7 linked regions of the Macaca fascicularis genome follow. The protein of the gene in region 3 interacts with the protein of the main gene of each other region in a pairwise test. Links are inferred from orthologs where the notes say so. Each region holds a gene or a part of one and is shown on either strand. Other genes may lie near its edges. The genes, in order: UBE2U, GPKOW, GOLGA2, GLYCTK, ZNF488, RAB2B and ZMAT2.

Evidence for each region.
Region 1: the proteins of GOLGA2 (region 3) and UBE2U interact in binary tests that used the Homo sapiens proteins (3 or more experiments, as listed by UniProt). The two-hybrid records come from large-scale screens. The link is inferred for Macaca fascicularis from reciprocal best matches to the Homo sapiens genes GOLGA2 and UBE2U.
Region 2: the proteins of GOLGA2 (region 3) and GPKOW interact in binary tests that used the Homo sapiens proteins (3 or more experiments, as listed by UniProt). The two-hybrid records come from large-scale screens. The link is inferred for Macaca fascicularis from reciprocal best matches to the Homo sapiens genes GOLGA2 and GPKOW.
Region 4: the proteins of GOLGA2 (region 3) and GLYCTK interact in binary tests that used the Homo sapiens proteins (3 or more experiments, as listed by UniProt). The two-hybrid records come from large-scale screens. The link is inferred for Macaca fascicularis from reciprocal best matches to the Homo sapiens genes GOLGA2 and GLYCTK.
Region 5: the proteins of GOLGA2 (region 3) and ZNF488 interact in binary tests that used the Homo sapiens proteins (3 or more experiments, as listed by UniProt). The two-hybrid records come from large-scale screens. The link is inferred for Macaca fascicularis from reciprocal best matches to the Homo sapiens genes GOLGA2 and ZNF488.
Region 6: the proteins of GOLGA2 (region 3) and RAB2B interact in binary tests that used the Homo sapiens proteins (3 or more experiments, as listed by UniProt). The two-hybrid records come from large-scale screens. The link is inferred for Macaca fascicularis from reciprocal best matches to the Homo sapiens genes GOLGA2 and RAB2B.
Region 7: the proteins of GOLGA2 (region 3) and ZMAT2 interact in binary tests that used the Homo sapiens proteins (3 or more experiments, as listed by UniProt). The two-hybrid records come from large-scale screens. The link is inferred for Macaca fascicularis from reciprocal best matches to the Homo sapiens genes GOLGA2 and ZMAT2.

What each region holds. Positions count from the first base shown.
Region 1 is NC_088375.1:170,415,446-170,419,338, forward strand, and holds the end of UBE2U (ubiquitin-conjugating enzyme E2 U), read right to left. Parts: intron 3,641-3,893; coding exon 3,444-3,640; 3' UTR 668-3,443; downstream 1-667. UniProt on the Homo sapiens protein: Catalyzes the covalent attachment of ubiquitin to other proteins.
Region 2 is NC_088395.1:49,281,982-49,285,874, forward strand, and holds part of GPKOW (G-patch domain and KOW motifs-containing protein), read right to left. Parts: intron 2,820-3,893; coding exon 2,710-2,819; intron 519-2,709; coding exon 305-518; intron 1-304. UniProt on the Homo sapiens protein: RNA-binding protein involved in pre-mRNA splicing. As a component of the minor spliceosome, involved in the splicing of U12-type introns in pre-mRNAs.
Region 3 is NC_088389.1:15,716,103-15,719,995, reverse strand, and holds part of GOLGA2 (golgin subfamily A member 2), read right to left. Parts: intron 3,843-3,893; coding exon 3,804-3,842; intron 3,538-3,803; coding exon 3,487-3,537; intron 3,399-3,486; coding exon 3,305-3,398; intron 3,209-3,304; coding exon 3,102-3,208; intron 279-3,101; coding exon 220-278; intron 1-219. UniProt on the Homo sapiens protein: Peripheral membrane component of the cis-Golgi stack that acts as a membrane skeleton that maintains the structure of the Golgi apparatus, and as a vesicle thether that facilitates vesicle fusion to the Golgi membrane.
Region 4 is NC_088376.1:115,370,130-115,374,799, forward strand, and holds the start of GLYCTK (glycerate kinase), read left to right. Parts: upstream 1-1,641; 5' UTR 1,642-1,692; exon of another isoform or gene 1,693-1,868; intron 1,869-3,882; exon of another isoform or gene 3,883-4,098; 5' UTR 4,099-4,137; coding exon 4,138-4,514; intron 4,515-4,670.
Region 5 is NC_088383.1:56,854,272-56,858,943, reverse strand, and holds the start of ZNF488 (zinc finger protein 488), read right to left. Parts: upstream 2,946-4,672; 5' UTR 2,848-2,945; intron 1-2,847. UniProt on the Homo sapiens protein: Transcriptional repressor. Plays a role in oligodendrocyte differentiation, together with OLIG2. Mediates Notch signaling-activated formation of oligodendrocyte precursors.
Region 6 is NC_088381.1:89,136,014-89,139,906, forward strand, and holds part of RAB2B (ras-related protein Rab-2B), read right to left. Parts: intron 3,402-3,893; coding exon 3,290-3,401; intron 2,079-3,289; coding exon 2,010-2,078; intron 969-2,009; coding exon 861-968; 3' UTR 1-860. UniProt on the Homo sapiens protein: The small GTPases Rab are key regulators of intracellular membrane trafficking, from the formation of transport vesicles to their fusion with membranes. Rabs cycle between active GTP-bound and inactive GDP-bound states.
Region 7 is NC_088380.1:147,179,077-147,181,744, reverse strand, and holds part of ZMAT2 (zinc finger matrin-type protein 2), read right to left. Parts: intron 1,847-2,668; coding exon 1,773-1,846; intron 1,315-1,772; coding exon 1,169-1,314; intron 1-1,168. UniProt on the Homo sapiens protein: Involved in pre-mRNA splicing as a component of the spliceosome.

The sequences.
Region 1 (3,893 bases), on a different chromosome or scaffold from region 3:
TTACCCAAGAGAAAATAAAACATAAATCCATATAAAGACTTAAACACATTGTTCGTATAAGCTGTATTAATTTTCTATCACTACACAACAAATTACCCCAAAGTTAGCAGGTTAAAACAGCTTACATGGTTGTTGACAGAATTCAATTTCTTGAGTTTGTAGGACCAAGGTCCCTATTTTCTGGTTGACTGTCAGCCAATGGCTCCTCTCACCTCCTGCAGTTGCCAGCAATTCCTGTTAGGTGGCCTTCCCACATGACAGCTTACTTCTTCAAAGCTAGCAGGAGAATCCCTCTCTAGTTTGCTTAAGATGGAGTCTTAATACGACATAATGTAATGACAGCAGCGTCATCACATCACTTTGCTATATTCTATTGACTAGAAGACACAGGTTCTATTTACACTCAAGGATTGTGTAAGGGTTTGACTCGTTGTAGGTCATCTTAGGATGGATTTGCCACAGCAACTTTTATATTTGTAATAGTCTCACACTGAAAACAACACAAATGTCCACCAACAGGTGAATGTATAAACAAATTGTGGTATATCCATACAGTAGAACACTACTCAGCAATAAAAATGAATATGGATATACAAAAGACAAAGAAATCTCAACATAATTGTGCTGAGTGAAATCAGCCACACAGCTTGCTTTCTTGCTTTCCTGCTTTTCTTTCTTTCTTTCTTTTTCTTTCTTTCTTTCTTTCTCCTTCCTTCCTTCCTTCTTTCTCTCTCTCTCTTTCTTTCTCCTTCCTTCCTTCCTTCTTTCTTTCTTTCTCTCTCTCTTTCTTTCTTTCTTTCTTTCTTTCTTTCTTTCTTTCTTTCTTTCTTTCTTTTTTGAGATGGAATCTCACTCTGTCACCAGGCTAGACTGCAATGGCACAGTCTTGGCTCACTGCAACCTTTGCCTCCCGGATTCAAGCGATTCTCCTGCCTCAGCCTCCTGAATAGCTGGGATTACAGACAATAGCCACCACACCCGGCTAATTTTTGTATTTTTAGTAGAGACGGGGTTTCACCATGTTAGCCAGGCTGGTCTCGAACTCCTGACCTCGTAATCTGCCCGTCTTGGCCTCCCAAAGTGCTGGGATTACAGGCACAAGCCACTGCGCCCAGCCTGCATAATTTCATTTATATAAAACTAGAAATTGCACACTAATCTGCAGTGACAGAAAGCAGATCAGTGATACTGACTGATCTTATGAAAAGTAACGGCAGGAAATAGGAGCAGGAGAGACATATTACCATGAAGCAGGGGGAAACTTTTGGGGTGACAGATATGTTCCCAATGTTGATAGTAGTAGGATTACATGAAGGCATCATATATAAAAACTTACACTGTACACTTTAAATTGCTCAACTTCTTCTATGTCAATCATACCTCAATAAAGCTGTTTTTAAAAACCTAGTGCCTTCTTCCAGAATCAACTCTCTCAAGGTATTCCTACTTGTTATTAAAAGTTCCTTTTTTGTTACTTTTGAATTCACTCATTTGCTAAAATTTCCAAGTTTATTTTTTAACAGTAAACTCTAACACAGTGAAACAGGAGCTTTTGTTTGAGACATCGTGGCAGCTGTTGGAATGTAGTCTATATTATTGAGTATCGTTAGGATGGAGTCTGGTTGGTTGGCTTCTTCTTTGAAGGTTTAATGGGAGAGGCAAATGTGCAAACAGACAATTTCAATAAAATTGAACAGCAGACACATACACATACTATATGGTGCCCACAGAGTGAGAGCCAGAGAGCCAGAGAGAGACCCAGCCTGGAGTAGGGTATGTGGAGTGCAGAGAAAACTCTGGAGGTGATGCCTGAGCAGAGTTTTAGGGGCTGAATAGGCGTTAGCCAACTGAAGAGGGGAAAAGGAATTCTCGGTAGAGGAAATGGCATAAGCAAAGGCAGGGAAGCAGGAAAATGCTGTTATGTGTGGGGAAGTACAAGGAGTTCAGTAATATTAGACACAATGTTGTAGTCTGAATGTTTGTGTCCCCTCCCAAAATTCACATATTGACACCCTAACCCCCAAGGGAATGGTATTTGGAGGTATGGCCTTTGGGAAATTATTTTGTCATGAGAGTGAAGCCCTCATAAATGGAATCTGTGCTCTTATAAAAGAGGTCTAAGAGAGACTCAGAATGTTGTGGTTCTGGTCACAGGGGGATAGCAAAAGTGTAGGTACTACAATCAGTTGGGGCCCTACTGTCTGAACTACCAGAGGGAGACTTGGAAATATTTAGCCAGCCAGGAGAGTGCAAAGAGACCAGATACATGTAGTAGAGCTTTCTTTTTTTCATGGGAACTAAAATCAGTTTCCCTAAAAATGAGGGAGAGACCTATTTGATAACTACATCCAAGGTCAGACATATAGATCGGTATGGCATTTTTGAGAAGACATATGTGTGTAGGTATGTAGGCCTCAAAATAGGTCTCTCTGAAGCCACGGCAATAAACACTTCAAAATAAGAAGATGATCAATAATATCAAACATGAGTTTTGGCAGTAAGAAAATCACGGTGATCCCAGCAAATTTTAGTGAAGTAGAATGAATGGAAGATAGATTTCATTGTGCAGTGGATGCAAATGTGAAATGAATGAAAGAAATAAAGAGAGAATGATAGACCACCATCAATAAATCTGATTGAGAAAAATGAGTGAATAATGGTGAGGTAAGCAGAGATAGGGGTCAAAGGCAGAGACATATTTTAGAATAGGAGAGACCCAAGCATACGTATAGGTTGAGACAACATGGCAAAAAGAGACAGAGAAAATAAAGTTATAAGAATACAAGGAGATAGAAGGTCTAGTTTATATAAAACTAGAAATTGCACACTAATCTGCAGTGACAGAAAGCAGATCAGTGATACTGACTGATCTTATGAAAAGTAAGGGCAGGAAATAGGAGCAGGAGAGACGTATTACCATGAAGCAGGGGAAACTTTTGGGGTGACAGATATGTTCCCATGTACTCTGGGATAAAACAGAAGAGAAACATTAGTAAATAGTGACATCTCATTCCTTGAATATGGAGGAAACAAGACAAGAAAGCAGGCAGATGTAGGTCCATGTATAGATCCTGCTATTTGAGGTCATGTCCAGCCTCTGAAGCTCTTAATTGCTCCCCTCCTATCCCAGCCTCTTTCTGACCCATTCTCTGCCTGCAAAAACTTGTGTCCAGTAGCCTAAAAACTGTGGGAGTGTCACACCATTGATTGGCATATGGCAATGAACATCCCTAACTTCGGTAACTTAGTTCTAAAGAAAGTCAAAGCAACATCTTTACTGATTTGTACTTATATCTCTAATTTGTACTTGCTTGTACTTGCAGTGAGCGGGTGAGAACAGCCTGAAAAAAATGAAATCCAAGTTCTGAGAGTCTTCCAAAATTGCTCCACAACACTGGGCTATGGTGGAGGCTGTTCAGTTTTTTAACCTGATAATGTTCTGCTTAATCTTCTAAAGTATTTGTATTGAGAGTGTTGATCCAGGAGATTAGATCTTCCACTTCCTCTTCCCAGGGCTCATCTGTGTTATTTTCATATAATGAAGTGTCACTCTTCCACCCCTCCTCTTCTGTTTCGTAAATGTTTGTGACGCTATTTATTGCAGTTGGTGACTCAAGAAAAATTTCATCTGTGGTGGGAACTATAAAAAACAGAAATTTAATAGACATACAGGAAAAACAATGAAAAGAGTGTTCCTGCATGTGTAGGATAATGCCAAAGACCATCTGAATGAATGCGAGCAACCTTTTTTACACTTTCTAAACTTCATGTTTTATAAGTAACTTTATTTGTCATAAATGATTCTTTCCATCTTGCTCGATCTTTTGATGCTTTGTTAGTTCATTCATTTAACATATATATTTACTGGATCCCTGCTAACGGCCGGTTGATGT
Region 2 (3,893 bases), on a different chromosome or scaffold from region 3:
GAAGTGGGACTAGGTCTGGTTCCTGTGTCTCCCTCAACTGACTGTGGGGCTTCCTTGGATCCTTTAAGCATTTAATCCTCAGGGACTTGTGGCATATGCCACTCTCTTCCTTTTAGCTGGGAACTGAGGCTCACAAAGGCCAGCAAGTGGTCCCGGGTTACTGAGTGAGGCAGTGGGCCAAGCAGACCTAAAAGACTAGGACTCCCAGCCTTTCTACCTCAAACCCAATTATTCCTCCATCTGACCCTCGGATCAACCTTCCCTACTGCCTGTTTTGGGCTCCCGGGATATCTTGGTTCCTTACCTTCCCATAGAGGCCTCGGTGAGGGCCAGAAAGAACCACCACAGCTCCTCCTGGCACCAGCCCTTGAGGCTGATCTTCCTTATCCTTCTCTTGCTCCTCATCTGGCCTTGGCATGTGGGAGGGGCCGGTGGGGGTCAAGGCCTGGGCCTCAGACAGGTTGGCACCCAGCCCTAACCCCTTGGGCCTCAGTGAGTTGACACGGGGCTTCACTACTCTGCAGGGAGAACATGGGTTTGTTGGAGAGGATGCAATAGTCTTCAACACCTTATTTACCTCCTCTCCCTGCCCAAACCCCCACCCCCACCATTGACATTTTCTTTTCTTTTCTTTTTTTTTTTTGGAGACGGAGTTTTGCTCTTGCCATCCAGGGTGGAGTACAATGGCTCAATCTCAGCTCAATGCAACCTCCGCCTCCTGGGTTCAAGCGACTCTCCTGCCTCAGCCTCCCAAGTTGCTGGGGTTACAGGAGCATGCCACCATGCCTGGCTAATTTTGTATTTTTAGTAGAGACAGGGTTTCACCATGTTGGTCAGGCTGGTCTCGAACTCCTGACCTCAGCTGATCCGCCCTCTTTGGCCTCCCATAGTGCTAGGATTACAGGTGTGAGTCACCGTGTCTGGCCCCCATCGATATTTTCAAGGTTGCCCTTTCCGATCTCATATTAGGACTGTTTTTGACCTACAGAAACAGCAATTTCATTTGGTTCGACCTAATAACATGCTGCATATACCATCTATTACATAATATCTACAGTGAGATCAGAGGCAGATCACTGTAACCAAATATACTATTTCTACAGGGGAAATCATATGAATATTCACACCAAGCAGGAGAAACGGACTATAAAAACTCAACATGGTTGGGCACGGTGGCTCATGCCTGTAATCCCAGCACTTTGGGAGACTGAGGTTGGCAGATCACCTAAGGTCAGGAGTTCAAGACCAGCCTGGCCAACATGGGGAAACCTCATCTCTTCTAAACATACAAAAATTAACCAGGCGTGCTGGTGCATTCCTGTAATCTCAGCTACTCAGGAGGCTGAGGCAGGAGAATCACTTGAACTCAGGAGGTAGAGGTTGCAGCGAGCTGAGACTGCACCACTGCATCCCAGCCTGGGTGACAGACAGAGACTCCATCTCAAAAAAAAAAAAAAAAAAAAAACTCAACGCCAATTCAGGTCATAGTTGGCTGCCAATGGGTTATGAAAAAAATGTTTGGTTTTCACAATTCTTGAGTTTGCAATTGCGAAGAAAGGGTTGTAAGTCTGCATGACAATAGCAAATGTTTAGTCTACGCTTTCTTGGGGTCAGGGCCTACTGTATGTGCTTTACGTATATAGTTTCTTTATCTTTTTTGTTTTTTTTTTTTTGAGATGGCGTGTCACTCTGTCGCCCAGGCTGGAGTGCAGTGGTGCGATTTCGGTTCACTACAAGCTCCACCTCCTGGGTTCACGCCATTCTCCTGCCTCAGCCTCCTGAGTAGCTGGGACTACAGGCGCCCGCCACCATGCCCGGCTAATTTTTTGTATTTTTTTTTTAGTAGAGATGGGCTTTCACCGTGTTAGCCAGGATGGTCTTGATCTCCAGACCTTGTGATCCACCCGCCTCAGCCTCCCAAAGTGCTGGGATTACAGGCACGAGGCACTGCGCCTGGCTCTAATTTCTTTTTTTTTTTTTTTGAGATGGAGTCTCGCTCTGTAGCCCAGGCTGGAGAGCAGTGGCCGGATCTCAGCTCACTGCAAGCTCCGCCTCCCGGGTTTACGCCATTCTCCTGCCTCAGCCTCCGGAGTAGCTGGGACTACAGGCGCCCGCCACCTTGCCCGGCTAGTTTTTTGTATTTTTTAGTAGAGACGGGGTTTCACCCTGTTAGCCAGGATGGTCTCAATCTCCTGACCTCGTGATCCGCCCTTGTCGGCCTCCCAAAGTGCTGGGATTACAGGCTTGATCCACCGCGCCCGGCCTAATTTCTTTTCTTAAAATGAATTAATCTTTTGTAGAGATGGGGCCTCCCTATGTTGCCCAGGCCAGTCTCAAACTCCTGGGGTTAAGTGATCCTCCTGCCTCAGTCTCCCAAAATGCTGGGATTACAGGCATGAGCCACTACCTGGCCTATGTGTATAATTTCATTTAACTCTCACAACAGACCTGTGAAGTCAGTACTATTACCCCCATTTTTCAGATGAAGAAATTGATGTCCCTAGAGGCAGACTTTATATAAATGGGATTCTATTAGAGTTTCAAAGGGCAAATGGGAGTTTAAAACAGTAGTGGAAGGGGCTACTGAATTAGTTAGGGCGATAATGTATCCTCCCTCCCTGCCTGGAGTGGTTCTGGTTTGGCAGTGACCCTGGGGATCTTGATTGCAGCCTGATCTGTCTGTCCCCTCGCCCCTATCCCAGAACTCACTGATTGAAGGTGCGGCCGATGCCCTCGCCAGGTTTCCAGCCCATGCCCCGCAGCATGGCCAGCCCATAGGCCTCCACGGGGACCGCCTCATAATTAGCCTCCTCTGGCACCTACAGGTTCAGGTAGAGGAAGGAGGGTCAGGCTTTGCTTACACTGGGTCCTCTGTTTGAAGTGCACTTGCTGCCACCCACTGGGAGACCTGCTACGCATCTTTTCCAATCAGCTCAAGGGTGTTTTGATTTCCTCTTTCCATCCCTCACTGTACTCCTCCATGTTCAGTCCTTCAACAAATAGAAAGCACCTAGTCTATGGCAAGTACTGTTCTAGGTACTGGGGATGAAGCTGTGAACCAAACAGACAAAAACCCCTACCCTTGCAGAGCTTCTGATCTAGTTGTGGAGACATACTATAAATAAAACCCAGAAAACATGATATGTCAGGTGGTGACGTAAAGAACAAGAAAGCAGGGTAAGAAGATGCAGAGGGATGGAGAGGGAGTGCCTCTGGGTTGACATTTAAGCAGAGATCAGGAAATGATAGCAGAGGGAGCCATGAGGATATGAGAAGAAAGTGTCCCGAGCTGAAAGCACAGTTACAGCAAAGGCCCTGAGGCTGGACAAGGCTTGGTATGTGTGAGGGGTAAAAGTCACCATGACTGAAATGGAGATAGTGAGAGTAGAGAGCAGAGAAGGGTGGGGAAGAGATCAAATCAGGAGAGCTGGGCAGGAGTCAGAGGACCCTGAGCCAGGTGGGAGCCATAAGAGGGACCAGTGAGGAAATTACTCTAATAGTCCAGATGAGAGATACTGGTGGCGGTGAGAAGTGGTCAGTTCTGGGTGTCATTTTGAAAAAAGATGAAGGATTGTGCTGGCAGAGTGTATGGGGCATGAAATAAAGAGGGGAATTGAGGATGACTCCAAGGTTTTCTTTTTTTTTTTTTTTTTTTCCTTGAGATGAAGTCTTGCTCTGTTGCCCAGGCTGGAGTGCAGTTGCACAATCTCAGCTCACTGCTACATCAGTCTCCTGGTTTCAAGCGATTCTCCTGCCTCAGCCTCCTGAGTAGCTGTGATTACAGACATGTTCCACCATGCCCAGCTAATTTTTGTATTTTTACTAGCGATGGGGTTTCGCCATGTTGGTCAGGCTGGTCTTGAACTCCTGATCTCAGGTGATCCGCCCACCTC
Region 3 (3,893 bases):
ACCCCAGGAATCAAAAGTCACATGTACAGGCCAGAGATAAGACATGAGTTACCCAAGGCTACACCATGAGTCAGTGGCGCAGCTGGCACTAGAGCTTTGCTGGGCACACATGCAAACCTGTATGACCACCTCACCATGCTTACCTGTACCCCCCACCTCCCAGCACACCACCCATGCTAAGGGCCCCCAGACCTCCCATCCCACCATCCCCCGTCCTACGTGTTCTTGTATAACTCCAGCCTGAGGGCATCTCTCTCTTTGGTTAACTCCTTGTTGTACTGTAAACACAGAAAGGTTAAGTCAGGATATAGCAGGCAGAGGAGCAGCTGGCCGACCAGTAACAATAGCTACAGTAACTACTCCACAGTAACACTTCTTCACTCTCAATCACGCTTGACATGTTTTCAAGGCATTTCCAAGCCCACGGTCTCATTTTGTTGTTGTTGTTGTTGTTTTTGAGACAGAGTCTCGCTCTGTCACCCAGGCTGAAGTGCAGTGGTGAGATCTCAGCTCACAACCTCCGCCTCCCAGGTCCAAGTGACTCTCCTGCCTCAGCCTCCTGAGTAGTTGGGACTACAGGCACACGCCACCATGTCCGGCTAATTTGTTTTTGTTTTTGTTTTTCTGAGACGGAGTCTCACTCTGTCACCCAGGCTGGAGTGCAGTGGCGCCATCTCTGCTCAATGCAAGCTCTGCCTCCCAGGTTCACGCCATTCTCCTGCCTCAGCCTCCTAAGTAGCTGGGACTACAGGTGCCTGCCACCATACCTGGCTAATTTTTTTGTATTTTTAGTAGAGACGGGGTTTCACCATGTTAGCCAGGATGGTCTCGATCTCCTGACCTTGTGATCCACCCATCTCAGCCTCCCAAAGTACTGGGATAACAGGCGTGAGCTACCACGCCCAGCCTAATTTTTGTATTTTTAGTAGAGATGGGGTTTCACCATGTTGGCCCGGCTGGTCTTGAACTCCTGACCTCAAGTGATCCACCCGCCTCAACCTTCTAAAGTGTTGGAATTACAGGTGTGAGCCACCGTGCCCAGCTGGTCTCATTTGTTTTTAAAAGAACTTGGTAAGGGTGGCCGGGCGCGGTGGCTCACACCTGTAATCCCAGCATTTTGGGAGGCCAAGGTGGGTGGATCACGAGGTCAGAAGATCGAGACCATCCTGGCTAACACGGTGAAACCCCATCTCTACTTAAAAAAAAAAATACAAAAAGTTAGCCGGGCGTGGTGGCGGGTGCCTGTAATCCCAGCTACTTGGGAGGCTGAGGCAGGAGAATGGAGTGAACCCGGGAGACAGAGCTTGCAGTAAGCCAAGATGGCACCACTGCACTCCAGCCTGGGTGACAGAGTGAGACTCCGTCTCAAAAAAAAAAAAAAAAAAAGGCCGGGCGCAGTGGCTCACGCCTGTAATCCCAGCACTTTGGGAGGCCAAGACTGGCGGATCACGAGGTCAGGAGATCGAGACCATCCTGGCTAACACGGTGAAACCCCGTCTCTACCAAAAAAATATCAAAAACTAGCCGAGTGTGGTGGCAGGCGCCTGTAGTCCCAGCTACTTGGGAGGCTGAGGCAGGAGAATGGCCTAAATCCGGGAGGCGGAGCTTGCAGCGAGCTGAGATCCGGCCACTGCACTCCAGCCTGGGCAACAGAGCGAGACTCCGTCTCCAAAAAAAAAAAAATACAGAGCTTGGTAAGAGTGAAAGGGACAGGAAAAGACAGTGAATTTATGTATGTATGTATATATGTATTTATTTGAGATGGAGTCTCCCTCTGTCACCCAGGCTGAAATGCAATGGTGCCATCTTGGCTCACTGCAACCTCTGCCTCCCGGGGTCATGTGATTCTCCTACCTCAGGCTCCTGAGTACCTAGGATTACAGGCATGCACCACCACACCTGGCTAATTTTTGTATATTTATTTATTTATTTAGAAACGGAGTCTCCCTCTGTCACCCAGGCTGGAGGGCAGTGGTGTGATCTCGGCTCACTGCAACTTCCGCCCCCGGGTTCAAGCAATTCTCCTACCTCAGCCTCCCAAGTAGCTGGGATTACAGGCACCTGCCACCACACCTGGCTAATTTTTTGTATTTTTAGTAGAGACAGGGTTTTGCCATGTTGGTCAGGCTGGTCTCAAACCCCTGACCTCAGTTGACCTGCCCACCTCGGCCTCCCAAAGTGCTGGGATTACAGCTATAAGCCACCACACCTGGCCAAGATCGAATTTACAGCTGGCTAACAGAGGCCCAGAGAGATCAGATAATATTGCTATTGTTATTATCATTATTACTACCACTGTTTGAACCTTTATTGAGTGTTTCACCAGGCACCATGCTAATAATCCCATTTAATCCTCATAATCACCACATGAGACAGCTCACTGCAATATTATTACCTCTATTTTGTAGATGAAAAATATGTAGTATTAGAGGTTAAGTGTTTGCCTAAGATCACTTAGACAGAGCTGGGATTTGAATAGCCAGGTATATCTGACTCTCTAAGTTCATTTGTTCCCTGGGGGTGGGGGCACAGATAGGAAGAGGGAAATTAATCTTTTGTTCAATTTTTGAAAGGATCATACATTCGCATAGTCCAAAACTCTGAAGGTACAGAAGGGAAATATCTTCCAGCCATGCTGCTCCTCTCTCCTGAGTTTTTTATGAATCCTTGCAGACATGTTTTATGTATATTGTCACAGTACATATGTACAGACACACGGACACACACACAGACACACACACACACGTTCCCTCTCTCTACACAAATGGTAACATACTAAAGATACTCTTCTGTACCTTCACAGAACAAATACCACATTCCCCAACCTAGGACTTGGCCAAGGCCACAGCCAGGTAAGGGCAGGGCGGGCACTTGGCCTCTGAGCTCTGTGTCCAGTGTTCACTCCTCACAGTGCCCCCCCACCCACCCACAGCAGCTGACTCAGCCCCAGGATGCCTCTAACAACCACACACAAAAGCAGTGACAAATGGCCCATGCTGCCTTCTGGGCAGGACACTCAACCCTGCAGAAGAGACCTTTAGGCTCACTCCTCCACCTGGGAAGCCAGGCTGCCAGGGTTCGGGGCAGGCAGTTGGACTCACCCTGTCTGCTTTCTTCTGCTGCGTGGAGACAGCAGAGAGAGCCCGCTCCAACTCTCCCACACGCCTCCGGGAATACTGCAGGCGACTGGCCAGATCTTCGGACTCTCCTGGAATGAGAGAGGTTGAGATGGGGTCCAAAGGACTCACCCTAAAGGCCTGTCAAAGTGCCAGGTTGAAGGATGATGGGGTGCCCAGATTCCCACCTTCTTTCTGCCTGGCAGCATGCTGAGTGTGAGCCAGGGCTGTCTGTAACTCAGCTTTCTCTGATACGAGGATCCCTATGGTCTGAATGTGAACCTTTGGGAGGAAACCCAAGCAAGTGCTGAAAAAGAAGGAAAGAAACATTCTCCAGAGGACAGGGCGGAACTTCACCCCCTCCACTCACCTGTAACTGCTCCCTTAGGGCTCCCTGCTTTTGGTGGCATTCTTTCTTTTCCTACAGGAAGAGGAAGACAGAGCTCTTACTAGGGGGAGGCAGAGATGGCACAGCAAGGGACATGCCCCCAGAATGCCACCAATGCCCCAGGACCGGCCCACCCATGGGACCAGGTTATCAGGGACCCTGTGGGGATGGGGTGGAATCTTGGGGGGTGAGCCTTCTTCCCCAGGCTGGGAGCGGGTGAGACGAGACTGAGGCCTCTACATTTGAGTGCCCCCCAAACCCAGCTGTCATGTTGTGAGCAAACAAAGAAATCACGTTACTTCTTCCAACTGATCCGTAATTTCTTGGTTCTGTTGTTTCTGTGGGGAAGAGTCAAAGGAAGGTGACTGAGGGTGGCCCCCTCAACCCTA
Region 4 (4,670 bases), on a different chromosome or scaffold from region 3:
AGGTGAAGATTGTTTATATTGGCCGGGCGCCTGTAATTGTTTATACACCTGTAATCCTAGCACTTTGGGAGGCCAAGGTGGGTGGATCACAAGGTCAGGAGTTCGAGACCAGCCTGGCCAACATGGTGAAACCCCATCTCTACTGAAAATACAAAAATTAGCTGGGCGTGGTGGTGGGTGCCTGTAGTCCCAGCTATTTGGGAGGCTGAGGCAGGAGAATCGCTTGAATCTGGGAGACGGAGGTTGCAGTGAGCCGAGATTGTGCCCAGGCTGGAGTATAGTGACAGTGAGCCAAGATTGTGCCATTGCACTCCAGCCTGGGTGACAGAGCAAGACACCACCTCAAAAATAGGAGAAAGAAATGTGTTTTTGTTGGTTGGTTGGTTTTTTTTGAGACATGGGACCAGGCTGGAGTGCAGTGGCATGATCAAGGTTCACTGTAGCCTCTACCTGCCATGCTCAGGAGATCCTCCCACCTCAGCCTCCTGAGTAGCTGGGACTACAAGAGCATGCCACCACACCCGGCTCTTTTTTTTTTTTTTTGGAGAGATAAGAGTTTTGCCATGTTCTCAGGCTGGTCTCGGATTTCTAGGCTCAAGCGATCCGCCCACCTTGGCCCCCCCAAGTGTTGGTATTACAGGCGTGAAACACTGGGCCCTGCCAAGAAACATGTTTCAATAAAATCGTTAGGAAATCAAGTATGTGATTTGTGATGCAACTCTCTCCTCTATCTCCATAAGAAAACATCAGTAAAAACAGTGAACTGTTTTGTGTTCTTGGAGTCTGATGAGGACTCATCTTATGAATGTGGGAAGGCATCCAGCCAGCTCAGGGTGGGCCCAGCATGAGAGCAGGGACAGTGAGGAAGGTCCAGAGTCATTCGCTTTTACATGCAGCTTATGTGCTTGAGGATAGCGGAATGGAACTCTTGCTAGGTCAGAGCTGTATTTGGTGGCCCATGGTGGGAGAGGGGAGAACACTAATAAGTTGTGGAATAAAAACCATGGAGAGGAGCGAGAATTACTTAATCTGGCTCCAGAAGGGGTTAGTTGTGGGTAAGTAGTGATTCTCAGTTCGTTTGCTCAGCCCAGTCCTCAGGGTGTATCTGCTGACTGATCGTACAAGATAAAGGAAGGGAGAGGCCAGGCGCGGCGGCTCAAGTGTGTAATCCCATCACTTTGGGAGGCTGAGGTGGGTGGATCGATTGAGGTTAGGCGTTCGAGACCAGAGAGGCCAACATGGCGAAAGCTGGTCTCTACTAAAAAATACAAAAATTAGCCCGGCGTGGTGGCACATGCCTGTAATCCCAGCTATTCAGGAGGCTGAGGCATGAGAATCGCTTGAATCCGGGAGGCGGAGGTTGCACTGGGCCGAGACCGCGCCTCTGCACTCCAGTCTGGGCGACAGAGTGAGACCCCCGTCTCGAAAAAAAAATCTGCAATCAGTGAGGCGGGGATTATTACCCTCAATGTAGAGATTAAGAAAATGAGGACTTAAGGTGACTCCTTCCAGGTCTGTTGGTGGCCAGCAAGGAGTCAATATCCTAAACTCTCCCTTCCAGACCCCAGCTTCAGCTAGAGCTCGCAGCCGCCAGCGCCGATCCACCCACCCACACTTCCGGATTCCGCTCCGCCCACCCGCGAGTACTTCCGGTCTCCAGTGCTGGGCGCCGTGGCCCGGAGCTGTGGGCTGGTAAGTCTGCGCCTGCAGGGCGCGCATGACCTTCAGAAGCAATCCCTGGGCTGGGCGACGAAGGGTCTTGGTGGCAGCAGGCCCTTCTTTCTCGTATCACCGGGCATTACGCGGCAGCGGTTTGCCTCGCGAAGGCCCTACCTGAGGATGACGTCACTTCCAGCCCCCTGCTGACTGCGGAAAACCGGAAATGGTGCCAGCCCCCTTTAATAGCGGGGAGGAGTCAAGGCCGGTAGTCTTCCTGTTTCCGTGTTTTGCTTTGGATCCCTCCGGAGTTTCGGAGAGACCATGTCTTGTATAGAATTGGAGGACTTAGCAAATAAAAATGCAGAGAGTCCAGTTAATTTTTTTTTTTTGAGACAGAGTCTCACTCTGTCACCCAGGCTGGAATGCAGTGGCGCGATCTCGGCTCACTGCAACCTCCGCCTCCCCGGTTCAAATGATTCGCGTGCCTCAGTCTCCTGAGTAGCTGGATTACAGGCGCCCACCACACCTGGCTAATTTTTGTATTTTTAGTAGAGACGGGGTTTTACCATGCTGGTCAGGCTGGTCTGTAATTCCACACCTTAGGTGATGCGCCCGCCTCAGCCTTCCAGAGTGCTGGGATTACAGGCCTGAGCCACTGCGCCCGGCCGTGTCCAGTTAAATTTGAGTTAAGATAAACGATGAATAATTGTTAAGTCCTAAACATTGTATGCACATATTTATACTTTAAAAATTACTTGTTTTTCTGAAATTCAAATTTAACAGGACGTCCTGTATTTTCTCTGGCAGCCTTGGCATTGAGCGTCCCCCGTCCTCTGCTCATACCCAGTGGCAAGACTGGGATCTTCTAGGCTCTTGTCCATCTGGGAAATAAATACAGATTTCACCCAGGCTATAAAGACCGGCTGTCTTAGTTGCTAAGATGCTTTTAGCTCCAAGCCTAATGGGCAAGCTCCAGGGGTCCCCCTGGCCATAACTGGACCCATTTTCGGAATCCCCATGACGATGCCCTCTGTGTTCCGTTTCACAACAGAAGTCAAGCATGGCTGTCTTCTCTTACGGGAGAGCTGAGACTAGGCAGACAAAATGGTCAGAGTCTAGAAGTAACCACCACATTTGGGTGTGGGATAAACCGGTATTTGAGATCTGTGTTGCAGTGGACAGTATCAGAGAGCCTGAGGGTGTTAAGGGGAGAGTGTAGTGTTAATCTCACCTTGTGTCTCATTTTGTGGATGAGGCCCAGTGAGAGAAATGGATGTGTCCCAGCCACTCAGAAAACCTGTAGTAGATACAGCTGGAAGCTCAATTCCCAGCCTCCTTACCCCGCTCAGTCCATACTTGCTGATGAAGTCAGCTTGCAGCATTTATGGTAGGCATTTATTAAAGTAGATGCAATAGTACATATGTAGTACAGATGAGCTCTTTGGGTCTTTGTTGTTCTTATACACCTCTACAGCTTCCTGACCTTCACCCCAAGGCTTCTTTAGCTTTTACTCTGCCCAGTGGGGAAAATGGCTATCTGGGCTCAGTTATGGGAGCCTGGCCTTTGCCTACTTCAGCTCTTGGGCTCTCACCACTGTGGGTGGTGTGATCTAGGACTTGTTTTTGTTATCTTGGAACTAGAAGGGGTGTTCTTGGCAGGGTTGGGTCTGGCCAGCTATGTGGGTAGAAGGGCATCCTTTTCTGTCCTGCAATTGGGCTTCACGGCACATGGCCTCACATGGTGCCTGGGGACTTTCCTAAGGTTCCACCATGAGCCAGACTTTGCCCTCACTCCTGATTTGAAACTAAACCTCTTGCTGAACTGGCCTGAATAGTGGGATTCCTCAGATTGCTTGCCCTGAGGATATGCTCTGGGCTTGACCTGATAAACCTGCAGCCTCCTATAGACCCTGACTTCCCAGCCTCCTAATCCCAGTCTTATGAGATAAAGTAGAGTAGGCTGGAGGTCAGTGGGCTCGGGGTCAGTTGGTGGGACAATCAACAGACTCCTGGCAGCAGAGGTAGTAAAGAGGCAAGGAAGGAGTGCCAGAAAGGGGCGTTGCCCCTGGGTAAGAGCTCAGAAGTGCAGGGGGTGGAAAAGGGGTGGGATGGGAGCCCACTGGTAGAAATTACTCCCTCTGTCAATGATTAACTCACAGCCAAAGGGATGACCTAGGAGGAGGGCCCAGCTAATAGGAACTTTGGACTTAAGGCAGAGTATCCAGAGGGCCGGCATGTGGTCTGCAGAAGAGGAGGACATGGCTGGGTGGCAGGGCTGGTATCCAAGGATGAGTGAGATCCTGCAGCTGTGGGCTTCAGGAAGTCTCCTGGGGCTATCAGATGGCTCCTTCTTGTAGCAGCAGCTGTGGGGTCCACTGGCCGTGGGGGACCTCCTGTCTTTTGCCTTGCAAGGGCCTCAGTTGTGCTTTTTCCCTCTAGGCAGCCATGGGTGCCAGGCAGTGCTGAGAGCAGTGGGGCATGGCTGCAGCCCTGCAGGTCCTGCCCCGCTTGGCCCGAGCCCCCTTGCATCCACTCCTCTGGCGGGGCTCAGTGGCCCGGCTGGCCAGCAGCATGGCCTTGGCAGAGCAGGCCTGGCAGCTGTTTGAGAGTGCTGTGGGTGCAGTGCTGCCGGGCCCCATGCTGCACCGGGCACTATCCTTGGACCCTAGTGGCAGACAGCTGAAGGTGCGGGACCGGAGCTTTCAGCTGAAGCAAAACGTCTACCTGGTGGGCTTTGGCAAGGCTGTGATGGGCATGGCAGCTGCCGCTGAGGAACTACTGGGCCAGCATCTTGTGCAGGGCGTGATCAGCATTCCCAAGGGGATCCGTGCTGCCATGGAGCGCGCCGGCAAGCAGTAAGGAGCCATGGGGGGCTGCCTCCTGCTGTCTATCTGGAGGGAAACCTGGGCCCAGACCCAGGCTGAATCAGGCCTCCTTTCCCCACCTGCTTCCCTTTTCTCCTGGGTCTGGCCTGGCCCCAGGATGCGTGTCAGTGGGCATCTTCGTTCATG
Region 5 (4,672 bases), on a different chromosome or scaffold from region 3:
CTATGGGTCTTTTCTGCATTTGGATTGTGAGGTCCTGGGGTTTCCTAAGAAAGGGAATACACCTGTTTCCAGGAATTCTCCTGGCTCTGGCGCACTGAAGAAATTAAACACGGAAGGTGATCCAGGCTTTCCCAGAGGCTGACTGGTGGCACTGGGGAGATGAGCAATTCCTGGTCAGCCCCTACAAGCTCTGTGGCCAGCTATGCCTGGACCCCTCTAGCAGCAATGCCTGCTGCATTCCAGGAAAGCTAAGTGCAGGAGACTGCGGACACAGCCAGTACCCATGGAAGCAGGGAGAGTGGCCCTAGTGCAACATAACTTGGCCATGTGGACCCTCATAGGGGTGGATGCAATCTCATCACCCACTCAGATACCTGAGACTGTGCAGAAGCAGGGCCAGTGAAAGCAGAGGGCAAATCCAGTGCTTCAATGGGGCCCTGCTGTGCAGATGGAGAGTCTACCATGGATATGACTGAGGATGGCCAGGACACAGAACAGGGAGCAGTGTTCTGCCAAACAATGCCAATAGGCAATGGCTGGTGCTGTGTGGAGTGATATTTTAGATGTTACATGTGCTAGGGCTGCAGCAACATGGAAGTCACATAACGGGACTGAATTAGCCCTGGTCACTCAGGCTCCAGGGCACAACTTGTGTTCCAAATCAGCCCTGCTACTACCTGCCTGACCTCAGACAAATACTCTGGGTCTCCATCTCTTCATAAGTAAAACAAGAACAGTGATCTTCACTTCAGGCACTCACGGACGGGACTCAACAGGGCTCTGTACATGCCAGGCAGCAAGAGCACAAGGAACAGCAGCTCTTTTCCTAATACAACTAGAGAATAAAGGTGGAGCCTGAGACGGTGGTCCCAATTCCACTGGCAGCCTTCTGGAAAAAGTCCATGATTTTACCTCAGCTACTCCTTTTGACATTCCCAGGTTCCAACAATAGCATCATCTAAGGATAAAAAGACAATGATGTTCTTACAGAGACACTGACCACTAATGAGGAACGATCAGTTTAAAAATATTGAAATTCATCCTTTTTTAAAAAAAAAATTGGTGTGATTACATGTTTCAAACAAAAGTTGCCACTTCTTGGATACCCGAAAAGAAATCTGCCAAGCAAAGCAGACATGATGATTCTAAATCATTTGCAAAGTCTTTTACCCCTCCCCCGAGAATCCTCACATATTGGGGATCAGGGATTAGATATAAAAGGCAATTTAACTTTTTAAACCAGAAAAGAGCCTCACAAATCACAGTTCCACGCACATACCTATGAATTTGTCCAAAATATCTAGCACATGCAAATTCTTTCACTGAACACACTGCAATGTACCTTCATCATACTTAATTTCTGTTTAATTCTGTGTAATTTATCTATGGCCAAATTTCCATTTCTGTATCAATCAAAAGTAAATGAGTTGAATTTTCATTAAAGGTCATAATAAACTACAATATCATGTTAAATTATTTCCAAGAAGCAAAAGCTTCAAGCTTTATTGGTAATTAAGATCTTTACAAACAAACAAAGGCTCTTTTATAACTTAGTGCATATATATTATGTATTTGTGTGTGTTTGAACATATAAATATTATGTGTCATAAATATCATTAAAAATTAAATCACATATCTCTGATAAGATTACATTTTAACCAAGAAACAAAAAATTGCCTCGATATAGTTCTATTTTATCCCTCAAAAATGAATGAGGCTTGATTTTCTAGAGTTCGTCCTTTATACATCTATGACAATCTTTGACACTAACAGGAAATATTTTCCCCTTGGCCCTCCTATTTAATGTACATAAAATCATTAATTTCAAATGCCATAATTACTGCCATAAAATGCCTAACGTCTCCCTCAGGAGTAATTAAGTAAGTTCATTTCTGTACATCAGTGGCATTGGCAACTACATATTTTAGAAATTTACTGTTAATTTCTTATTTCCAGGGGCCCTCAGATGTTTCAGGTGCAAAGCTCTGGCCTCCCACTGTCTTCCCACAACCCTGCTCTGAATCCTGTCCCCTCCCTCCCCTGCACCTGGCATTGCATAACCTGCCCAGAAGGCAGGTGTGGGTGGGAACTTCCCTTAAATGCTTCTGCACGGCTTAGCTTCCTGCTGTGCTGTCTGTGTCTATTAGTAAAGGCAAAATGTCAAGGAAAGGATTCAATCAACCCCTTGCCTCTAAAACCAGGTATGTTCTTTCAGCTCATTCTAAAAACTCAGTATAATGTGATCATTTAGCATTGTTTTGTTTCCCAGGAAAGACAGTGAACAGGTTACACGTCCAGATCTTTGGATATAATCTGTTGGAGAAGGGATCTGGGGCTGATGCATGGTTCTTACCCTACTGCCCAGCGCAAGCCTGGGCTGAGAATAACAGAGCAATACACGATAAACCCCGGGAGGGGCAGAGGGAGGGACGAAAACAACTGCAGCCTGAAAGTCACCCTAGGAGGAAAAAAAAAATCATAGGCAGAATTCTTGGGTGCTGAAAAAACAGCGGGGAGAGGGGGAAGGTGAGGGAGAAGGATAAAGAAAGAGAGGAAAAGAGGGAGAGGGAGAGAGACTGACACGGAAGGAAATGAAAACAGGAAGACAATAAAGAAGAGATAGAGGAGAAAAAGTGAGAGAGGAGAAAGGGAACAGAAACGGGGATGAGAGTCGGAGACGACATGAGAGAGCTAGAGGAAGCTGGCGACATTGGGAAGGAAAGGACCCCACAGTCAAAGGCAGGACTCAACAACCCTGTCCTGGGGAAAGGCAGTGGAAGTGAGATGGACCCGGCCGCCCGCGCCCGCTCGCGGCTCTGTCCCTGCAGACAGGAGGGCGCGCCTCACCTGGGCTCTCTGGAGATGTGGAGCAAAAGGTGCTGGGGCAGCACAGCCTCCTCCCGGCCAAGAGCACAGCGCGTGGCTCTGAACTTGGCGCTGGAGCCCTGAGGGTGGCCAGGTCCCGCCCCAAACCCGCTCCCGCCTTCAGGGCGTGGCCTCGGCTTCGCCCATCCCCAGGGAAGCTCCAGCCTTCGGGGCGGGGCTTGTGGGTGGGCGACCCCGGCGGGGGAGGGCGCTGCTGGCCAAAGAACCCCCAACCCCGCGAGAAAACCCCCTTCTGATCCTCTGGGCTGCCCGGCCCTAACCCGGCTCAGCTCCCAGCTGGCTGGTCAGGGTCTGGAGCCAGCGCCTGCAGGAGGGCGAGGGCGTCCTTTGGAGGCGGCGCCTGCTCCCGCCGACCCCCTCTGGTCCTGGGCGCCAGACCTCGCGCTCCTGGGCCCGCGGGGCCTCGGCGAGGCGGACGGGGGCTGCGCGCGGCGCCTGCGGCTCCAGTCTGCGCCGAGGACCCCCGCGGCCTCCAGGCCCTCCTTCCCCGCGCAGCCTGGCGGCCCCTCGAGCGGCACCTCCCCCCGCCGAAATCGCCCAGCTCTCCCCGCCAACCCCCGGGAGCGCCCGCAGCCTCTGCTCCCCAGACCCCAGCTGTGACCACGCAGCGCTCTGCCAGGAAGGCGGGCTCCGCGACTCGGGCCGTGGTGGAAAATGACAGTTCAAGTGCGTTAAAATTAAGAACTTATACTTTGATTAAAAAAACAACAAACGGAGTGAAAAAGCAAGCCACACACTGAAAGAAGATACTTGCAGCAATTGATAAAAGATTAGTATCCAGGATATGTACTTTTAATGAAGGAGAGGAACACCCAAAGCAAAGAATGGATACAGACATGAATAGGCACTTCGGAGGAACCATTAGCGACCAAAATCATGTGAACGAAGGAAGTCTCTAGAGTAATTAGAAAATGCAAATTAAAACCACAAGGAGATGTTTAATCATTAGGTATAAGTGTTAAAATATAACAATAACAAGTGTCACGGAAGGCATGAAGCAAGAGAACCCTAATATGCCCCCAGCATATAGTAACACCCATATTAGTACAGCATAGAAGTACACCCAATTTCATTGATTATAAAACAACACTAATTTAAGATATTCTATTATACTAAATACAACTCCAAAAGAGGGGGGAAAAACTGACAACCAACCAACTCAATGCTTTTCATCACTTGTAATTTTTAACATATAAAGAAAGATATATTTTAGACTGTATTAATCCATTCTCACACTGCTATAAAGAACTGCCTGAGACTGGGTAATTTATAAAGGAAAGAGGTTTAATTGATTCACAGTTCAGCATGGCTGGGGAGGCCTCGAGAAACTTACAATTGTGGTGGAAAGGGAAGCAAAACAGGTCCTTCTTCACAGAGTGGCAAGAAGGAGAAGAATGAGTGAAGTGCAGAGTGAAGGGGGTAAAAGCCCCTCACAAACTCATTCGATTGCCTGAGAACTCACTTATACTATCATGAGAACAGCACAGGGCAACCACCCTCATGATTTGATCACCTCCCACTAAGTCCCTCCCCCTACATATGAGTATTACAATTAGGACTACAATTCAAGATGAGATTTGGGTGGGGAAACAGAGGCAGGCCATATTATGCCACCCCGGTCCTCCCAAATCTCATTTCCTCATATTTCAAACCACAGTCATGCCTTTCCAACAGTCTGCCAAAATCTTAACTCATTCCAGCATTAACCCAAAAGTCCAAGTTCAAAGTCTCATCTGAGACAAGGCAAGTCCCTTCACTTATGAGCCTGTAAACTCAAAAGAAAGTT
Region 6 (3,893 bases), on a different chromosome or scaffold from region 3:
GTGGCTTACGCCTGTAATCCAGCACTTTGGGAGGCCAAGGTGGGCAGATCATGAGGTGAAGAGATCAAGACCATCCTGGCCAACATGGTGAAACCCCGCCTATACTAAAAATACAAAAATGAGCTGGGCGTGGTGGCACGCACCTGTAGTCCCAGCTACTCAGGAGGTTGAGGCAGAAGAATTGCTTGAACCCGGGACGTGGAGGCTGCAGTGAGCCAAGATTGTGCCAGTGCATTCCAGCCTGGAGACAGAGCAAGACTCCGTCTCAAACAAATATATATATATTTATTTATCGAGACAGAGTTTCGCTCTTGTTGCCCAGGCTGGAGTGCAATGGCACAATTTCAGCTTAGCGCAACCTCCGCCTCCTGGGTTCAAGTGATTCTCCTGCCTTGGCCTCCCGAGACCTGGGATTACAGGTATGCACCACCACACCCAGCTAATTTTGTATTTTTAGTTGAGACGGGGTTTCTCCATGTTGGTCAGGATGGTCTCGAATTCTTGACCTCAGGTGATCCCCCAGAGTTGGCCTTCCAAAGTGCTGGGATTATAGGCATAAGCCACGGCGCCCCACCGTGAAATTATTATTTTTAACTACTGTGATAATCAACTTTGATCCTAACGATTTAAGAAATTAGTATAGGAGGATAAGAAGAACCCTAATCTATACGGAATGCTCATGTCCTTGAAGGAGGACAGGTCAGTAAGGGCCCAAATTCTCTCCTGGTCTTTAGGTGGAAGGGCAAAACATCACACTTTAAAAAGAGGCTGCTCTCAGCCAAAGCAAGAAAGACCTCTTTCATTAAGCCTGTTGATCTGAAGCTATTCCAGGAAGGAAAAAAAAAGTTCAAGCCAGATGTTCAGCAGCAGCCAGAGTTGGACCCTACGTCACGAGAGTTCCGCTGGGAGGCACTGGGTCCCACTGATGTTGAAATTGACTGTTGGGGCCCAATCTTGATGCCATTTGCCTGTAAAAGAAAAGAGGCAATAGTTCCCACCTCAGTGTTAAAGTGAATTAGAGAGAGGAGGGGGCTATCTCTGCTTGTATCCCAGGTAGAAAGAAAAAAGAAAGGGGAGAAAGGAGGAATCATTAATTATATTTTCTAAAAGCAGATTTGACCTTGGCAGGTAACCAGGTGCCCTAGCCAGACTGATGTGCAACAATAATCTATGACAGTAAGAATAAGATGACTACCTATGGTCTAAATATTCTAGTTGACTACAAGTGGCTTTTGTGTACTTTTTTTTTCCTTGAGGAAATGAGGTCTCCCTACATTGCCCAGGCTGTAGTGCAGTGGCTATTCACAGGTATGACCAGCGTGCACTACAGCCTCAAACTTCTGGCCTCAAGTGATCCTGCCTCAGCCTCCCAAGTCACTCAGACTACGGGTGCACCACTGCACCCCGTGCTCATTTTAGAGACGGGGTCTCTCTTTGTTGCCCAGGTGGGTCTTGAAGTCCTGGCATCAAGCAATCTCCCCAGCTCAGCCTCTCAAAGTGCTGGGATTATAAGCATGAGCCACCACACGTGGCCCCTGTGCTCATTTTTAGGGGACCATATTATACTTAAATGTCATAGCTATGTGCAGAATTAGGTTGTGATTAGGTAAGAGTGGAGGAGGCAAAGAGCAGAAGTAGCATATGATTCTTTTTGTTTTGTTCCAGAATTTGCTTTATAGAAATTACTCTCCTAAGCCACTATGAATTATACCTCCCTTATGTTCTAGAATAGTAAAAAACTGAGGTTGACAAGAAAATCTCCCATATTGTATAAGTCTTTTAGATCACCAATAATCTCTTTAAGCATTCTGGGTGTCAGACTTGAGGAAAACAGAAAATGATGACAGGTCTCTGTGTACCTAGATTTAAAAAAAAAAAAAAAGTTGAATTGGCAGAGCTTTTAAATTATATAATGATAGATGGGGAATGTAAGCATTCCATTCTAGGGAACCTCCAGTTCTATTCAGAACAAACCAAAGTTAACTGCCAGCACTTCTACCCTTTCTTACCTCATTGTGGACATCAAATAAACCCTGTTGGATCTTCCTATATATTTCTTTGGCTGTGTTAATGAAGGCCTGAAAGAGACATAAATCATATCATCAGTCTCAAGTTCAAGTAGAGAAATGAGGGAAAGAGAATATTAATTATTATACATATTTGAATTTCTAAGGTGAATTAGAAAACAGTAAAAAAACATAGATGGTCGGCTGGGCGCAGTGGCTCATGCCTGTAATCCCAGCACTTTGGGAGGCCGAGGCGAGCAGGTCACTTGAGGTCAGGAGTTCAAGACCAGCCTGCCCAACATGGTAAAACCCCGTCTCTACTAAAAATACAAAAATCAGCCAGGCGTGGTGATGCATGCCTGTAATTCCAGTTACTCGGGCAGCTGAGGCATGAAAATCGCTTAAACCTGGGAGCCCAGGTTGCAGTGAGCTGAGATCGTGCCACTGCACTCCAGCCTGGGCGACAGAACGAGACTCAGTCTCAACAAAACAAAACAAAACACAGAAGGTCCCCCAAATGTCCTTGTAAAAGCCATTAAGAGTAGTTAAAAAAAAAAAAAAGGATTATGTGGTATTCTGGTACTGACCCAAAATGTTCCTAGGCTGGCATCTTCTACAAATAAAACAAACACACTCTATTCTCCACTACTTACTGAAGATACCATCAACACTAGGCTTAGGAATGACTACAGTAGAATCCATTAGACACTCCAACCAGAGTGATTTACTAGTAACAAGTGTGGTGTCTAATTCACACTTGCCAACTAATATTACCCAAAGCAAAAGTAAAACCTTGGGAATCAGGGTAAAAGAAAATGGGACAATTCTTTTAAAAGGAATGAGAGAAGTAGTCACTATGACCACAAGACATCCTTTCCCTTTTTTTTTTTTGGAGATGGAGTCTTGCTCTGTTGCCCAGGCTGGAATGCAGTGGCAGGATCTCGGTTCACTACAACCTCCGCCTCCTGGGTTCAAGCAATTCTCCTGCCTCAGCCTCCCGAGTAACTGGGACTACAGACACATGCTGCCATGACCGGCTAATTTTTTGTATTTTAGTAGAGATGGGGTTTCACCATATTGCCCAGGCTGGTCACAAACTGCTGATCTCAGACAATCCGCCTGCCTTGGCCTCCAAAAACGCTAGGATTACAGGTGTGAGCCACTGCGCCCGGCCAAGACATCCTTTCTTTACCCATTTCTTATAGGAGAAGAGAATTCTGAATAAAAGGACAAATAATGGTGTAATCTCTAAAGAGTTTTCCCCACTGTTTTCCAAATAGTACCTCTTCAACATTGCAGGCTGTTTTGGCTGAAGTTTCCATGAATATAAGTCCATGCTCCCTAGCAAAGGCCTCTCCTTCTTCTCTTTTCACATCCCTGCGGGACTCTAGGTCACTGCAAGAGATTAATTAAGGAGAAAACTAAAAAAAGATCCAAGTGAAAGAGGAAACTCTATTTCTAAAAGAATTCCATCGTGGTTTCAATGGCCAGTTATTTAATAAAGAACATAGATCCTACAAGATACTCTCTTATATAGAGTTACTGATTTCTGTAGCCTCTTGGAAAATATTCTTTAGTTTTGGGACAGCTGCTGCATAGTTGAAGATAATAACTCACTCTATTACAGAGAAAAAGGCTTATCAAGGGTTAGGCAAGCCCCCATAGTTACACAAAACTTAATGCTCTATTGCTTGTTTTTCCAATGAGATCAAGGAGAGCAAAGTATAGATGATAAAAAAAAAAAAAAAAAAAAAACCTCAGTCAGGCACAGTGGCTCATGCCTGTAATCCCAGCTCTTTGGGATGCCAAGACAGGTGGATCACGAGGTCAGGAGTTCGAAATCAGCCTGGCCAACATGGTGAAATCCCGTCTCTACTAAAACTACAA
Region 7 (2,668 bases), on a different chromosome or scaffold from region 3:
GATTCACAGCCAGTAAGTGGAAGAAACAGAATTCTGACCCAGTCAGCCTGATTTCATGGGCCTCCTTAGGACTAGGTACATTTAGTTAATTCCTCTTGTAGTTAAAAAAAAAAAGTATGGAGGAAGCTATGCATGTTGTGGGGGACAGTGGGTATATGGGAAATCTTTATACCTCCCTCTCGATTTTGTTGCAAACCCAAACTGCTCTAAAGAAAGTTAAGTCTTTTTTTTTTTTTTTTTTTTTTTTTTTTTGAGACGGAGTCTCGCTCTGTAGCCCAGGCTAGAGTGCAGTGGCCAGATCTCAGCTCACTGCAAGCTCCACCTCCCGGGTTCACGCCATTCTCCGGCCTCAGCCTCCCGAGTAGCTGGGACCACAGGCGCCCGCCACCTCGCCCGGCTAGTTTTTTTTTTTTGTATTTCTTAGTAGAGACGGGGTTTCACCGTGTTAGCCAGGATGGTCTCGATCTCCTGACCTCGTGATCCACCCGTCTCGGCCTCCCAAAGTGCTGGGATTACAGGCTTGAGCCACCGCACCCGGCCAAAAAAAAAGTTAAGTCTTTTTAAAAAATTAAATCAAAGAATACAGATGAGAGTCCTCAACTTACGATGCTCTGACAAGATTTTTCAGTTTTACAATGGTGCAAAACTGACATGCATTTGAAACTGTACTTCAAGTATCCATATAACCATTGTTTTTCACATTCAGTACAGTATTCAATAAATTAATGAGATGAATACTTTATTATAGAATAGGTTTTGTGTTAGATAATCTGGGTCAATTGTAGGCTAATGTGTTCTGAGCACATTAAGGTAGGCTAGACTAAACTATGGTAGGTTAGGTGTATTACACATTTTTGACTTAAGATATTTTTAACTTGATGATGGGTTTATCGGTAGGTAACCCTGTCAGAAGTTGAGAAATATCTGTATCGCCAAAATAAATAAATAATAAGGCCCACAGAGTCCAGGACAAAAAAGTCGTTTCAGAGCCATTTCCTTCAGATCATGAGAATCCTAAACAAAGGCAACAAATGTTTCCGCTAATATACAGAACTCAGGAGATACAACTCTGGGGCTGGGAGTAGGAGTGGGATGAGGACAGGGTCTCCCATGATTCATAACATAAAACTCAAATCTGGGGCAGAGGGGAAGACTAGGAGAGGCTTACCTCTTCTCTGAGCTCCTTCATCCTTTCCTCAAAATCATAATCCTTCTGTTTCTCTTCCATCTTCTTCTTGTTGACCTCAAAACGTTTCTTCACCTGATCCAGGGTGGAACGTTCCACACGCATAGACATGCCCAGGTTTCTCTGATCTGGATGGGGTCAACAGTGAAGAAGGCAAGCTCATTAAAACATCCTCAGCCCCTCAAAAAGTATTTTCCTGACTTCTCTGACATCTTCTCATATGACATCTCATAAAACACACAGCACAAATAATTACGGTTAAAAGAAACTCCCTTGGTCAGCTGGGCCCAGGAGCAGCACATGGTTTGGGTGCTGTTAAAAGTCTCATGGCCTCCAGAATAAGGCCTCTTACCCATTGCCTCCAGAAATATTACATAATGAAGTAAAAGATGGCCTGTGCTGAAACAACTGGAGAGTTCTAATAGGGGCATCAAAAAAGAGCCCAATAGAAACTACCTTTCTTACTCCAGCCTTCTTTTGATCAGTAAAAAGAAGAGGAAGAAAAAAAAAAAAACCTACCCTTCCATTCCACCCCACCTCCAAAACCCAATTCCAGCCCTAGTCACAAGCTACCTCCAAGCCTTACGTTTCTTTCCATTAATGTGATCCAGAAAGTTGATGGAGTCCTTCACCACACAGTCACAGACATTGCAGTAATATCTAACAGGAAGAAACAGCACTTGAGTCAAATATGGTTTTAAGGATCTTATCATTTTCAACCAAGAAACACAAATTTTTAGGTAAACTTCTTTTTAGAAGTGTTAAGCCTTCATTTCTATAAAGCCTTGGCTCTCGAGAGAGTATAGCAGTCATCCTCAAAGACAGCCTCAGGATGAGCCCCACCCTCTTGGTATTCCTACTCTGTGTAGTCTCTTCCCAATTTGTACTAGAGTTGGTCTGTGTGGCCAACAGAATATGTCAAAAGTAATATCTTCCAAAATTAGGTTATTTTAAAAACCATGCCTTCTGTCTTTGTTTGGGTTACTTGCTCCGGGGAAGCCAGTTGCTCTATTGTGAGCAGTCTTATAGAAAGGTCTATGGGGCAAAGAACTTAGGCTTCCAAACAACAGGCATGTGAGAGAGCTTGGAAGCAGATCCTCCAGCCCCACTTAAGATTCAAATGAATGCAGACCTACCTTGCCAACTCCTTGATTGCAGCTTCATGAAGAGACCCTGAGCCAGAACCACCTAGGTAAGCCACTCCCACATTCCTTACCCAAAGAAACTGTGAGTGGTGTAGTTTATGCTGCTAAGCTGTGGGTTAATTTGTTAATTTACGTAACAATAGATAACTAATACAGACAGGAATGGACAACAGTGGGTTTACTAAGCAGCTCAGAGAAGTGTCACTCATTGCTATCTGTGTTGCTCTCCTGCTAGAAAACCTAACTGGAGAGAGAAGCAGTGGGGGGCAAAAGGGTGACAAGCTGTTGTGGGACCCTTCTTCCTACAGGTTACAGTCTTGGAAGAACGTGTACAATC